Kluyveromyces lactis: one gene and its partners. The protein of the gene in region 1 purifies or fractionates together with the protein of each later gene. This does not show direct contact. Links are inferred from orthologs where the notes say so. Each region holds a gene or a part of one and is shown in the gene's direction. Other genes may lie near its edges. The genes, in order: KAP123, SIS1 and YRA1.

Region 1 (5,577 bases):
AAGAGGCCAATGAAATTAAACATGAAAAGATTCAGGGTGGTTATGGACGATTCCAGGGGACCTGGATACCCTGGGAATCGACTAAATATCTGGTGGAAAAATACAATATTAACAATAAGGTTGTCAAAAGGATTGTAGAATTTATTCCTGATCCAAATGATATGCCTCCTAGAAGATCAAAAGTATCTCAGATCAAGAAATTGGACCCGAATGCAAGGATTACATCACCATCAGCTTATAAGAAAACACCAAAGAAGAATGCAAAGACCCCAATGAAGAAAAAATCTATAAGGAGATCTGGGAAAAAGGATAAACCAGTTCAACCGTCCCCCTTACACAATGTTATGTTTCAAACACCTCAACAGCAACATCATCATCAGAGTCAAAATAGTAACCAAAGTACTGAAAAGCTTCCTAATTTGGCTTCTGAACAAGATACTCCAATGGTACCGGTCAGTAAGGTGAATCCTGATATTATTTCTCAAGCAAACCATCCAATCAAATACCAAACTACTCAGAAACCTTTGCAATTTTATCCATACCCACAAACACACCAGTTCCAACAAATGGTACCTGTTACAAACAACGTGGCTCCAGTGCCAGTCAACTCTAACATGAAATCTCAGCATAACATGAAAATACTAAAACAAATGACGCAGGGCAATGCTGGCAGTAATAATATGGGGCATTCTTCTGGGTCTATGATCTCAAACGTTACATCCACAGGATCCTCAATGGAAGTTTTCTCCTCCAACGATAAAGCTTCGTCTAGCTCATCAGAATCACCAACTCCACTCTCATCAGCTCATGATAAGAACGGTGTGTCCACAGAATATTATAAGGAACTCATTTTGGAGGTTTTATCTTCAGAATACGATTCCGTGGAACCTACGCTACCCGAAGCACTTTATAGGCCTCCATCCAATTTGGACATAAACTTCTTAATCGATGACCAAGGACATACGTCTTTACATTGGGCTGTCGCTATGTCAAACATTCCATTGATTAGAGTACTACTAGTCCAAGACGCAGATCTTCTCCGTTGTAATGATAAGGGCTTCAATTGTTTGACAAAATCAGTCTTTTACAACAATTGTTACAAAGCCGTTTCTTTCCAACAAATAATATCTATGTTAAATCCATGTCTAGTAACACCAGATGCAAATCATAGATTACCCTTGCACTACCTAGTCGAGCTGACAGTAAACAGGTCCAAAGAACCTCATGTCATAGAGTATTATATGGACACTATATTGGATACACTTGCCAAGGAGGATGAGAAACTGCTGCGAATGTCACTCAATCACCAAGATACATTGGGAAATACCCCTTTACATTTAGCAGCCCTCAATAAGAACGTTGATTTATGCCAGAAATTAGTATATTTCGGCGCGTCACCAGATATTCTTAACGGTGAAAATCAGACAGTATCTATGATACTGTCTCGTTTCACAGTTCCAAATATATTTCAACCAACGCTTCCTGCCCAGATTCTACAATCTCCACCCAAGACAACTTTCTTGGCGAACACTCCTCGAAACAGTCAAGAAGAGCGTATAGATGACACCAGCAAATACGACTTCAATGACACCACAGTGGATAGTATACAGACTTCAACTAGGAAAAACAACATAGTCGACCGTAACGATGTCTTATCAATTGATAAAATGAAAGGATCCTTAACTCCAGCAATTAAATTGCATCCACCATCTCCACCAACATTAGTGAAGCCTGTGAACAGATTACGTAGACCTGATGCTCAAAGAGTACGAAAAGAACAAAAATCATCATCTCCAACCATCAAGTCTACTGCTCAGTTGGGTTCTCTTACTCAATCTTTGAGCAACATAATTGAAGATAATCTTGATAATCTTCAATATAGTATACAGCTGAAAGAAGAGCAAATCCAAGAGATCGAGAACCAACTGAAGCACACCAACGCAAGAGAAAAGGCACTCTCCGATTCAAATAATAGAAATACGTTGGGATCCGCCCAAAATCAGCTGAAGATGAAAAACATTGAATTGGATAACTATATGGAGCGGTCGCAAGCGCTGTCACTTGCTACATTAGTACAGGATGAGGAAAACTGTCTCTCAAAGGACTCATCTACGGAAGCTACTAATGAATTCGAAAAGAAAGAATCCATAAAATTGATGGTAGAATTGTGTTACAAGCAGTTCAAGAGAAGACAAATGATTAGGAATATCAAATACGCTAGAGATCAACTGGTTTCAGATAGTAAAATATCAAAGTTCAGAAAACTTATTGGTATGTCCATAGACAATATCGATTCTAAGTTGAATGACATCGAGATGGACCTAAGCTCTATGGAAAAGACTCAGTCTCGCTAAGGACTTCTAACTTTTAATGACTTTTATTTACGCATACGGTGCACGTATAAAATGCACACGGCCCATTACTTAGACTTTACCTTTATAAGATTCATCTTAAATATCATAACTTACGAAACAAAAAGCAACAAGCCCACTGTAGCTAACATAATTTTTTTTTTGGTTTCTGGTTTTCGGTGTTGATATTGAAAAAGAATTAAATTTGAGATGAGATGAGATGCGATGCGATGCGATGAGGTAAAAAAGATTACTGTTCTCATTTCTGTTGCGAAAGGATCTTGAAGGTTGCTCATTTCGAATAAGTATACCCTAGCCCATAGGAGTAAAGACTGTATTTCTTCTTTTTGTTGTGAAACCTTTTCTTAACAACTTCTCAGGCCTGTGATTTTATTATCAGTTTTATAAACCGGTACGTCAGTCCTTAGTGCGCCGCTAACTCATTACATACCCAAAGCTACCCCCCCCCCCCCCCCCGTTATGGATCAACAGTTTGTGGCTCAGTTGGAGCAAGCTTTAGGTGCTATTGTTCAACCTACAGGTTCTTTGAAGGATGCTACCAAGACTTTGCAATCACAATTTTACACTCAATCTGCTGCTTTGCCGGCTTTGATTCACATTTTGCAAAACAGTTCAAATGATGGTATCAAGCAACTAGCCGGTGTTGAAGCTAGAAAGCAAGTTTCTAAGCACTGGGGTTCTCTTGATGCTGCTACTCAAACAAGCGTAAAGCAATCCTTGTTGAACTCTGCTTTTAACGAAGGAAAAGATGCTGTTCGCCATGCTAATGCCCGTGTCATTGCCTCCATTGGATCCGAAGAATTAGACGAGAAGAAATGGCCAGAGTTGATTCCAAACCTTCTACAAGCTGCTTGTGATAGTAACCCAAAAATTAGAGAAACTGCTATTTTCATTATCTTGTCCCTTTTGGAATCCTTTAATGCTAACTTGGCTTTACACATCGATGATTTCTTGAACTTGTTTGCTCAAACTATTAACGATTCTGCATCATTGGAGACAAGATCTTTGTCTGCGCAAGCCTTGAGTTACGTCTCCTCTTTAATCGAAGAAGAAGGTGAAATCAATCCACAATATGCCGCTAAGTTTGCTTCTTTGATTCCTTCCGTCGTCCAGGTTCTGGATGCCACCATCAGAGAAGGTGATACTACTAACACAAAGCTAATCTTCAACTGTTTAAATGACTTTTTGTTATTGGACTCTCAATTAACTGGTAACACAATTGCTGATTTGGTCAAATTGGCTTTACAAATTGCCGTCAATTCCGATGTCGATGAAGATATTAGAGTGTTTGCAGTACAATTTGTTACTTCTGCTTTAGTTTACAGAAAATCTAAAATAAACCAAGCCAAATTGGGTCCAGAGATCACTTTGGCTGCTTTGAAGGTTGCTTCGGAAGAAATTGATGTCGAAGATGAGTTGACTAATGAAGACGAAGCCGGTGAGAACGAAGAAAACACCCCAGCATTGACTGCTCTCAGATTGATTTCTAACGCTTCTGGGGAACTATCCCCATCTCAAGTCGGTGTTCCTATTATCGAACATTTGCCAACCATGTTGTCCTCTTCTAACCCATTCGAAAGAAGATCAATCTTGTTAGCAATTTCTGTATTGGTTACTGGCTCTCCAGATTACACATTATCTCAATTCGATAAAATCATTCCTGCCACTGTTACTGGTTTGAAGGACTCTGAAGCAGTCGTGCAATTAGCTGCTTTAAAATGTATTGTGCAGTTGAGTACCAATTTGCAAGACGAAGTTGCTAGATATCATGAGCAATACTTGCCTCTAGTGATTGATATCATTGACTCTGCTAAGCATGTGGTTATCTACAAGTACGCAACTCTTGCCTTGGATGGTCTATTAGAATTCATTGCTCACAATGATATCATTAAATATTTGGATCCATTAATGAACAAATTGTTCCAAATGCTGGAAACCCAACAATCACCAAAATTGAGAGCTGCTATTGTTTCTGCAATTGGTTCTTGTGCCTTTGCTGCCGGATCAGGATTTGTTCCATACTTCAAGACATCTGTTCAATACTTGCAACAGTTTATTCAAAACGTCTCCCAAATCGAAGGTTTGTCTGAAGACGACATTGAATTGAAGGCCTTGACTTTCGAAAACATCTCCACCATGGGTAGAGCGGTCAAATCCGCTGCTTTTGCTGAATATGCTGAGCCATTGGTGAACGCTGCCTACGAAGCTATCAAAACTGATTCTGCTAGATTGAGAGAGTCTGGTTACGCCTTCATTGCCAATATGGCAAAGGTTTATGGTAAGGACTTTGCTCCTTTCCTACAAACCATCATTCCTGAAATATTTAAAACTCTCGAACAAGAAGAATACCAATTTAACTTTGACGGTGACGAAGACTTCTTGGAAGGCATCGAAGATTTGGATGAAGAAGAACTACAAAGCAAATTTACCGTAAACACTGGTATCGCATACGAAAAGGAAGTTGCTGCTGCTGCTTTGTCAGAATTAGCCATTGCTTCCAAAGAACACTTCTTGGAATACGTTGAACCATCTTTGAAGGTTTTAGCTGAGCAAGTCAATGAGTCATATGGTTTGAAAGAAACGGCTCTACACTCCATGTGGGCTATTGTTAAAGCTGTTTTGTTGACTGCCAACTTGAAAGAAGGTGAGTATCCAAAGGGTGTTCCATCAGGCTCTTATGTCGATGCTAGCGCGTTAGCCGTTATTCAAACTGTTAGAGAAGTTTCTTTGAACAATGTTATCGAAGAGGTTGAAACTTCTATGGTTATCAGCGTGTTCCAAGATCTTTCTGAAATGTTAAGATTGTTTGGTCCAATCATCATCATGGATAACGGTGACTCTACCCATTTGGATCAACTATGTCGTGAAGCTTTGAGCGTTTTGAAGGGTGAACATGCTTGTCAAACCATCCATTTCGAAGAAGACGTCCCAGAAGACGAAGATCTAGATGCCTCAGAAACCGAAGCTACTTTGTTGGACGTCGCTTTAGACATCTATGTCGCTTTGTCTACTAACTTGGTTGGTGGTTTCGCCCAAGTGTTTACTACAGCCAAGCCGGTTATCTTGCAATTGTGCCAATCCAAGTCCAAGAACAAGAGATCCTTTGCCGTCGGTGCTCTATCTGAAATCGCTTTAGGCATGAGAGATGAAAACCCATTCATTCAAGAATTGTTAGAGGCTTTGATCATCAGTTTGACTAATGATA
Region 2 (4,445 bases), on another chromosome or scaffold:
TCATCGCAGGTCATCTTTATATATATCTAAGTGTTGAAAGTAAATAAGAGTTTTGATATCCATAGTTTTGATCTTTTTATTAAATTACTACATCAACGAAACCACAATAAAATGCTATGTCGCATATCCCTTCTTTAGAGATATTGATTAAAGTTTCATACATCGTTAAGAGCAACACAAACAGCACCTTTGTGATGTCCTCCATACTGCCTTACAATTTCACTTGTGGAAAGGTCCCATAATCTTACATAATGATCAGAGCATGCTGTGACTAGGTATGCACTGTCTGCTGAAAACGCACAATCCCACACCCATCTCTGATGACCATCTAAAGTGGTTTCAAGTTCAAAATTATCCTCTATATTCCATACTCTAGCTGTATGGTCTGCTGAACATGTTGCTAAATGTTTTACATCCGCCGATAGTAGGACCCTGGTAATATATTTAGTATGCGATTTGAATTTAGTTACGGGCTCCAAAGTGGAAGCATCCGTGTGATGAGGCATCTTCCATACATAACAGTTCCCTTTGTTATTTCCTGCAACAAGCATCGATCCGTCGCTTGCAACGGACAACGACTGTAATGGCGTGTTATCTTCTGGTGTCAGCTGGTTTGTGCACTGGTTTTCACCAAGATCCCAAATCCTGATATTCCCATCCTGATCGCAGGAAATCAATTCCCCTTGGTTCGGATGTATCGCTACTTCATTGACAGGTGCATTATGCTTGTAATTCCTTTGCACAGATGGGGACCGTACATCCCAAACCTTAATAGTCCCATCTTCACTAGACGATACCATCCATCGATTTTCCTGTTGAAATGCAATCGACGTTACGTTCCCTTTATGGCCTTCGAAAGAGGACACCGGATTTGGATTATTCGACCGTATATCATAAAGACGGACGTGTAAATGACCAGCAGCAGCCAAATATTTCTTATCGGACGTAATCTCTAATCGATTCACTTGGGAATCTGCATGTTGAATGGTTCGTGAACAGACTCCAGTCAAAGCTTCCCAGAACCTAATTGTGTGGTCGTATCCAGCACTCGCTAGAATAACAGACATGGCAATATTGAAGTTAGTCTGACCGTACACAATAAGAAACCTCTACCTTGTTCACAGGGGAGAAAAAGCCTTGAAAACTCCTCAGATTCCTTAAGACTTTCTTTCATCTAGTATATTGCATATTCTTTATCACATTAAACCATAATTTGTCAATATTCATGATTGAGATATAAACAACAGCAATTGAAACAAAAGTGGAGGCATAGAGATAGCCACAAGATTGTGTAGTGGCTAATGTCATTGAATGACACCTGATTTGCGGCTTTGTGATGACAGATTTGTATTGGTGGGAAACTTCTATATCACGTGATTGTCACATGAATCTCGCGTGCTTAAAGCATTCATGTTTTTTTACTTCTAGAAGGTTCCAGGGTATACTCTGAAAGAACATGATCGGTTGCAACAGAACTGAACCTGAATATATAGGAATGAAATGTTATATAAAGGTTTTCAAAGAACAGGATGTTTTTCGTTCAAAGATTATTGGTCGTTGGTATTCGATCGACATGTTTAGAGAAGAGTTTTATTGCATCTTTTGTCCCATTGGTATCTCGAAACAGTGTAAACATTAACTGATTCTTTTAGTTTACTCTAATTCTTCTAGTTTAGATAGAGCTAATTTGAACTATCATTCGACATATATACAAAAGGACAATTACCAAATTTGAAACGTCGTAGGAGTATGGTTAAGGACACTAAATTATATGATTTGCTAGGAATTTCGCCTAGTGCAGGTGAAGCCGAGATTAAAAAAGGGTACAGAAAGGCTGCCTTGAAGTATCATCCAGATAAGCCTACAGGTGACACTGAGAAGTTTAAAGAAATCTCTGAGGCTTTTGAGATTCTTTCAGATGCTCAGAAGAGGGAAGTTTACGATACTTATGGTCTAGAGGCTGCTCGTGGTAATGCTCCTCAATTTGGAGGAGCGGGAGGGCCTGGTGGGCCTGGTGGGCCTGGAGGATTTTCTTCTGGTGGGTTTGCCGGGGGACATGCGTTCTCACAAGATGACGCTTTCAACATCTTTTCACAGTTCTTTGGTGGAGGAGGTGCTGCCGGAGGTGCTTCTCCATTTGGATTCTCTGCTAGCGGCGGGTCTGGTGATGATTTCGGGTTTGGAGGCAGTAGTTTCCATTCCTCTTCGGGCGGCATGCCAGGCGGTATGCCAGGTGGAATGCCAGGTGGAATGCCAGGTGGATTCAGTAGACAACAGGCTAGACCTGAAGAAGAAGTTGTTCAGGTCAATCTACCTGTGTCCTTAGAAGATTTATTCAGCGGTAAGAAGAAATCATTCAAGATCACAAGAAAAGGCGCCGGTGGTGTGTCCGAAAAGAACCAAATTGACATCCAATTGAAACCAGGTTGGAAAGCAGGTACCAAGATTACTTTCAAAGGTGAAGGTGACTATAATCCAAGAACTGGTGGTAGACAAACATTACAATTCGTTCTACAGGAAAAACCACACGAATTTTTCACCAGACAAGACAATGATTTGATTTACACTTTACCACTTTCTTTCAAAGAATCTCTTCTAGGTTTCTCCAAGCAAGTACAAACCATCGACGGTAAAACAATTCCAATCACAAGAACGCAGCCAATTCAACCTACTCAAACCTCAACATATCCCGGACAAGGTATGACACTGTCAAAGAATCCTTCCCAAAGAGGTGATTTGATTATTAAGTTCAAGATCGATTATCCAACCTCTTTAACACCTCAACAAAGACAAGCCATTATGGATAACTTCTGAATGAAAGATGAAGAATGTCTTTATAACGAAAATAAATCATAAAAGTATGACATGACGATTGCAAATTTAGACTTCTGACGGTGATCATGTTTACAATTCAACGTCTGCCAGAAATATTATCTTCCCACCATTATGGTTCTATGTCATATGTTTTCATTTCTTTAAATGTTTACTCCCATTAATTATTTCCAATTCAAATGTTCCATTCACATTCACTTCAGCAGAAGCAATCTTATCGTATGGCTACATTGTCTGTCGATTAATGCGTTAACTTTCTGACCACACTGTACACTATTTTCAAAAAAATATCCTTCGGTAAATGAAGCACGCAACATAAGTTGAGGACGCAATATAATATGCGAGAGAATACAAGGAGAATTATTCAATGATTGTTAATACTGGTAAAGTAAGAAACGGGACGTTTCATTGTGACACCTCGACTTCTGTTCACAATGTAACCATTTGCATAGATTTTAACCTTCATTTACCTTTTTATTGAGCAAATGACATCATGCAAATAAAAGACATACCAATCTGCAAGTTTCCCGACTTCTATTTGGTTCCGAACAATTGATGTCTGCCAAAAAAAAAAAAACTCCAAGTATTATTATCAAATCTTCTATCTACCTCATACATTTACCATTACTTTTTGCCATTACTTCAATTGAAGACGTAATGGTGTCTTCACACGCGCATAAATAATTTACAAATTTATATATACGAATACAATGATATACAACATCGACACAGGGTACAAAAAACAGTCGTGACGAAATACGTTTTTCAATGATTAAAAATATTCTACAGTGTACATAACCTAAATGATAAACTCTATGCAGTTTTGAAATTTCGATCGATGATATGAAGGACTTAGATTGTAGTCGTTTATTTCTTTGACTTCTTCTTCTTCTTCTCGGAAGACTCATCATCGTCAGCCTTTCTCTTCTTCTCCTTCTTCTCCTTCTTTTCCTTTTTCTCCTTCTTGTCCTTCTTCTCCTTCTTTTCCTTCTTGTCCTTCTTTTCTTCTGGTGTCTTTGATTCTTCCTTTGATTCTTCCTTCTGTTCGACTTCCTTCTTTTCTACTTCTTTGATCAGTGGTTTTTCTTCTGATTTGGATGCAGGGGCGGTAGTTGGTTCAGCATTCTCCAATGAAACGTAAGTCTTCTTCCAGGTCTCTGGAGTATTTTCGTTGGCACGGCCATATTTGTCTAGCTTACCGTCAGCCTTCATTTGTTTTTTCTTTTGGGCAATTGGACCAAGACCCCATCTTCTTGGATATAGGTCTCTTTCCATGATACATCTCTTAACCTTGGCAACAACTCCGTGGTCACAAGTAGCTAAATCGACAGTAGACATTTGAGCAATGGCAACTGCAATGGCCTCACCCTTGGTGGTGATTAATACAACTTCGTCATATAATTCAATACCTTCCTCATAACGAAGTAGACCTGGAATCATCAACTTGGCACCGTAACAAACAGCGTTAACAGCAGAATCTTTGACAACAATTCTTTTGTAACCGACTAATAGAGTTTCTAATGGTTGAATGATCTTTCTTAGGTAGGATTCATCCCTGGTGTTATCGTATACCCATTGTGCATCCATAACATCATGTAGGGTGACCAAGTTAT
Region 3 (5,577 bases), about 1.6 Mb from region 1:
TTCAAAATATACTGGTCCTTCAACACCATTTCCACTCCATTAGCTTTATCACCGTCACCGTCTATTAGATGGAGTAATTGAAGGATACTCGCACGCTTGAAGGTATTTAGTACAGTTTCGTTGTCGTGCTGTCCTTTGACAAGAAGGTTTATGACTTTCAACATTAAACCACTTTTAGGGGTCGGCTGTTTAGTTGCTGGAAGTGGATGCACCTGAGAGGTGGTATATTTGTTAAACATTGATCTAATCCCCAGATTTTTCTCTGCATTTTCTTCTTCTGATGGTAGCGCCTTCGAGTTAAGTAAGGAGTCACTATCCAAGTCATAGTAAAAGTCCCATGCATCAACTTGGTATTGGAAAATAGGGTTTGATACACCTACTACACTGAAAAAATTCCCTTTCGTGAACTCCTCCGTGAAGTTTTCTCTGAACATATCGATTATTGATATTTCCATGTATGGAAAAATGCAAATAGAGGAATTATCAAAATACTCCGAAGAAAACCCGTTTATGAGATTGGATAGGGCGAGTACAAATTGGCATAATTCATCCTTGGAACGCTCTGTGGAGTTAATAATTAATCTCCAAGAATATGTGGAATCGGGAATTTCAGTTAAGAGAGGAATTAATCTCGCAAGTAATTTCAAAATTGAATTATTATAATTCGTATCTATTTTTATGGCATCATATTTTATTAGATCAATTTGCAAAGGAATCCTCGTAAAATAAGCAGGTAGAACTTTGGGACGGAAAGTAGAGAACTTATATTCAAGAATCCTGTTTTTAAATTGAATCTCATTTCCGAACTTGTCTTTTTTGGGCAGCTCATTAACCCTAAGTATATTGGGCAAAGAGTTTTCGTTTGCATCAAATATTTTGGATGTAATTTCTTCGTCATTGATAGAGTTTAGAATATTTTGTAGTACAACATTGGAATGGAATCTTATGACCAAAGAGAGATCAAGACTGTTAATCATGTCAAAACAGTCTATAAGTATTTTAATATCGTTGTTATTCGATGTCATGTAGTGATCAAGCACCATTGTTAACAATGGTTTAAATGTGTAAAAGTTTGTCATAGTAGTACCCAGTGCAATGGCTTTTATATAAGCACCGCGATCATTTGAATTATCTAAAAACGTGTTCACGACACTTAAGAAAAATAATGGTGGCTCAGTTTCCTCTAAATGCCTATCATCTCTAATTGATCCAATCTTACCACTTCGCAGTCCATTTTCTTGTTCTTCTTCAAAGTCTTCCTCTTCAATTATCAGTGAGGAATCCAAGTCAGTACCTTTAGTCTTATTTTTGGATACAGGAAACAACTGGTAAACGTTTTGATTCTTGTATAAGACAAAAACAGTGAAATCTGGTTTACCTGGATGGTTCTCCACACTATTCGGTATCATCAAACTGGCCAAATGAGAACAAGTGGAATCACTCCCAATAGTTTTAAAACCAGGGATTGTCTTTGGATATTGATGCTTTATTATCGGCCCAGATTTGTTATCAAATTCTGCCGCTATTATAAATTGAACATTGGGGTTAGAGTGTGTGTGTTCATTTTGAGATTGTCGTAGGTGAAAGTTCAATCCTGTTTTTACCTTGGAAGAGTGTTTCATAACTGGTGAACGCGCGGTCTTTCCTCTTTAATTACAGAGTCAGTCCGTTTACCACCTGACCGTCGTTCGGAGATTTAACTTGCCAGTGAGACGTCTGTATCATTTCGCTGTAAAATAGCACGATTTTGACCCATCATCGTCTTTCTTTTTGAACCGATCAAATAAAATGAACCAAATAATATCGCTAACAGTGAAATAATCATGAAATTACCCGGACTGTAAATGGATTCAATTCGGCTTCTATTCGCTTATGACAGGAAGGCATAGAAGAATGTTTGGATACTAAGCGTTGTAAGATTCCCGCCACAGCCTACTTGGGTCTATCTGCGGAAGCGATCCATTTGAACATAAGATTGATCGAATAGCTGTCTATCTTATATATCAACGGATTTTACTTTTCAGTTGTTGCGGCCTTACAATTCACGAAATAAAGCTAAACGATGTTTGTTGGAAACAAATGAGTCCCCTCGACGAAATTATGGAGCATTATCTTTAGTCTTTGAAATGACTGTTATTCACAAAAATCTTTATCATGTCAGGAATGAAGTAAGTACACCGTTACATATGCAGCAGATCTTAGAAAATGACAATCGTTACCCTCTTTTGTTGATCGTGCTGGTTTTGATTTTCTTGAAAAGAATTGGACAAAAAGTTTGATATTTGATTTTTTTTGTATAAAAGGAGCCATAGATTTTTGCCCATTGGAATTTTTTTCCCTTTTTCCATGAAAGTTGTTCTTCAAATTTCTCTTTGTTTCTACTTCATAAGGCAAGCAACTTTATAAGTTATTTCCTTCGAATCAGCTACCCATCAGATTCTTTTTTTTACACTCTCATAAGCAATGTCTGCTCTAGATCAATCATTAGATGAAATTATTGGCTCAGCCAAGCATGCCAGAAGAAACAACAAGGCCGGGCCAAAGAAGGTTTCTAAGCAAGTCAACAAGAGCCGTACCAGAACAGGTGCCGGTCCTTCTAGAGTTCCAAAGAAGGCTGCTTCTGCTGCTGCCCTAGTGCCAGCTTTGCTAAGAGCTCCTATTTCTACTAGAGTTAATGTCGAGGGTTTGCCAAGAGACATTAACCAAGACGCTGTTAAAGTATGTCCCATTTTAGCCATGGCCTCTTAGTAGGTTCTTTTCTAATGAAAAGGACTGTCGAGATGCTACTGTACTGATTGCGAAAACAAATCGGATCAAACTGCAATAAGACTTGCGGTTAATTTAAGTTTACAACGGATATATCCTGTGGAATTCCATCCTTATGTTTACTATACGATCATACATTCCCGTGTATTTGATTAAGAAGAAACGGTCGATCGATACCTTTTTTGAGGTCTGATATTGATGTGTGAATAATTTATTTCAGAGTTAGTTTTTATTGAGCTAATGAAATATAACAAAACGAAATTAGCTATCCAATTGGCTGGGTTTCGCTTTTCAGCAAGCCTTCCTTTGTGATTTCTTTCCGTTTTTCTCCTCTAAGTTGACAGAACTTTTCATCAAAATTATGCACTGAACTTCGTTTATTTACGACATTTTATTTGATGGAGAAACGGTAGTGAATCACGATTGGGAAATGCCGAAAAGATGAAGTATATCTATTTTTTCTCGTCATATCTTCTATTCTTGTGACATTATGTGTCACTGGAGTTTCTGTTACCATTTATTACATTTGGCAATGCATCTATTTTTTAATGATGCCCAGTGTATTATTCTCTTTTTTCTAACTCTTTGCAAAGAACTGGGAATTTGAAGAAGATTACTTGGTGTACACCTTGTAGGAACAATTAAGTTTGACCTCTTCCTTGGTGTGTGTTTAGCTTGATGCCTCAATCTTCAAGATAGTGCGACATTTTTAGCAAGGTCGTCGTGTTTGACAACTTCAAAAAAATTGGCAAAAATTGAAACGCCACTGAAAAGCAAGTTTCAATGAATGTAATAAATCGAGATGGGTATGCTGGATTTGAAATCGATTTTCATTTGTCATTCTGCTATGAACATGTTCTATCTTGTCTGGTTGAGATCTCATCACTGACTCCAGATTTACTCTCCAAGAAAAAAAATAGAAAAGAGAAAAGTTATAGTATACTTACTTTTTGTTGGTTGTCATGTTAGATCCTACCTTCAAATCGAAACCTAATGAAACCCATTTGTGGTATATTTTACTGTTTAAGAGTTAACTTCATATCGTGACAGAATTGACCGGGTCGTACATGTATGATGAATTGTAAACATGAATGATTTCCTACAGGACTATTCATTGAAGACTCCGCTGTTTTCAGTTATCTATGAATAGTTTCACTAACAAAAATTTTGCTCCCTTATTATTACTAGGAATTTTTCAACCATCAAGTCGGTGGTGTCCAAAAAGCTTTGTTGAGTTACAACGAAAGGGGTAACTCCACTGGTATGGCCACTATTACCTTTAAGAACGCAGAACAAGCTAACTTAGCTGTAAAGAAATTCCACAACGCACCAATTGATGGTGGTAAATCCAAATTGAGATTGACGTTGATTGTCGATCCAAGCAGAAAGACATTATTGGACAGAATCCGCCCTGTACAGAATGCTCAGGCTGCCGCGCCAAACAAGAAGGCAGCTCCAACAAAGCCTCAACCTAAGAAGAAACCAGCCGGTCCAAACAAGAAAGCCATTGCTGCTAAGCAAAAGAAAAGAGCTAAGCCAGAAAAGAAGTCTTTGGAAGACTTAGACAAGGAAATGGCTGACTATTTTGAAGAATCCAAATAAGATATTGCGTTCTTGAAATTACTGGACTGAGAAATTATAAAGTCTTCCTTAATAACGAACGGATTGTCTCTGCTTTCGAATCTATTCGTTAGACATCCTAGAAGTTCAGTTCATTTGTTGTTTGTTTTATATTCCTCAATTTCAACCGGTGTGACTGCGTGGTTTCTCAATCAAAAAAATCCGTATCTTTCTTATGTGCTCGGCCTATCTTTTCTTACCTAGCTAAACTTTATTATAATATTGATATCAATAGTTTGTATTTTATTTCACTTTCTTTAAGCACTATTTACATGAGGAATCTTTCAGTAAAGAACAGGATATATTTCTAGATTGTTTCATTTAGTCATTGCAGTGTTTGTGTGTGTTGTTAATAAATAAGTGTGATGGGTAGGTTCGTGTATTGCCTTGCAGAATTAAAATCTTGCTTATTAATCATTCGTTACTTCTTCTATCCAAGAACCCTAATCTATCACCACGCTTTCTTGTATTGTAGGATAAACCGGCCCCTTCAAATTCACTTTTCCTTTTTATTTCCGTGGTTTCTTCTTCTTTCTTCATGGGGAACCCTGGTTTCACCAGAGCAGGGTTTGCGTAATAAGAATCTGCATCTTTCTTCTCATCCCCACTCAAATTCTGCGGGTCGAACTTGGAAACTTTAGCATCACGTACAACGGTCTTGACGATAACTATAGAAGCAGTAAGACCAATACACAAATACGCAAAGTTTCTACCAATATTTTGGAATGGGTTAGACATTTTTATTGAAAAGATTGTATCTACCAAGTTTGCTCTCTGATGCTAAATGCTAGAAACCAAAAGCCAAATAAAAATAAAAACTCAAAGTTGGTATATGGTTCGTCACTCAATCCGAATAGTTCCTTCTTCCGTTCAGGATCTATTTTTTTATCAACACGCTCTATGATGCTGTTCTCAATCTGTTTTTTATTTAACTGATTCCTCTACTACTTTCGCTCAGTATCTCTGATTCCTGCTCATATTTGAATTCAAATCTTTATTTTCCTTAGATTTCTTTCGCTGAGGAAAGGTTCGCCGTAACCCATTGCGGAAATAAAGAAAGAAAGAAAAAAAATGTTGACCTCATGGTGATTTCACCTTATTCCACACACCATTATCATACAGATTGTAATAACGTTAAGCAACTACCTGTTCATTTATTTATTTGTGCCTAGATATTGACCGAGTTCGAGA

Evidence for each region.
Region 2: the proteins of KAP123 (region 1) and SIS1 purify together in Saccharomyces cerevisiae (affinity purification with mass spectrometry; 3 studies listed by BioGRID). This does not show direct contact. The link is inferred for Kluyveromyces lactis from reciprocal best matches to the Saccharomyces cerevisiae genes KAP123 and SIS1.
Region 3: the proteins of KAP123 (region 1) and YRA1 purify together in Saccharomyces cerevisiae (affinity purification with mass spectrometry; 4 studies listed by BioGRID). This does not show direct contact. The link is inferred for Kluyveromyces lactis from reciprocal best matches to the Saccharomyces cerevisiae genes KAP123 and YRA1.

Annotation. Positions count from the first base shown.
Region 1 is NC_006041.1:1,849,299-1,854,875, reverse strand, and holds the start of KAP123 (karyopherin KAP123), read left to right. Parts: upstream 1-2,831; coding exon 2,832-5,577. Other genes in the region: SBF complex DNA-binding subunit SWI4, read left to right, coding at 1-2,354.
Region 2 is NC_006040.1:409,984-414,428, reverse strand, and holds SIS1 (type II HSP40 co-chaperone SIS1), read left to right. Parts: upstream 1-1,749; coding exon 1,750-2,814; downstream 2,815-4,445. Other genes in the region: TOR complex subunit LST8, read right to left, coding at 156-1,067; pseudouridine synthase CBF5, read right to left, coding at 3,700-4,445. UniProt on the Saccharomyces cerevisiae protein: Required for nuclear migration during mitosis. It is required for the normal initiation of translation. Might mediate the dissociation of a specific protein complex of the translation machinery. Essential for viability.
Region 3 is NC_006041.1:254,496-260,072, forward strand, and holds YRA1 (RNA-binding protein YRA1), read left to right. Parts: upstream 1-2,463; coding exon 2,464-2,718; intron 2,719-3,954; coding exon 3,955-4,368; downstream 4,369-5,577. Other genes in the region: AFI1 (Afi1p), read right to left, coding at 1-1,622; COI1 (Coi1p), read right to left, coding at 4,801-5,124. UniProt on the Saccharomyces cerevisiae protein: RNA-binding RNA annealing protein. May have a role in pre-mRNA metabolism. Component the TREX complex, which operates in coupling transcription elongation to mRNA export.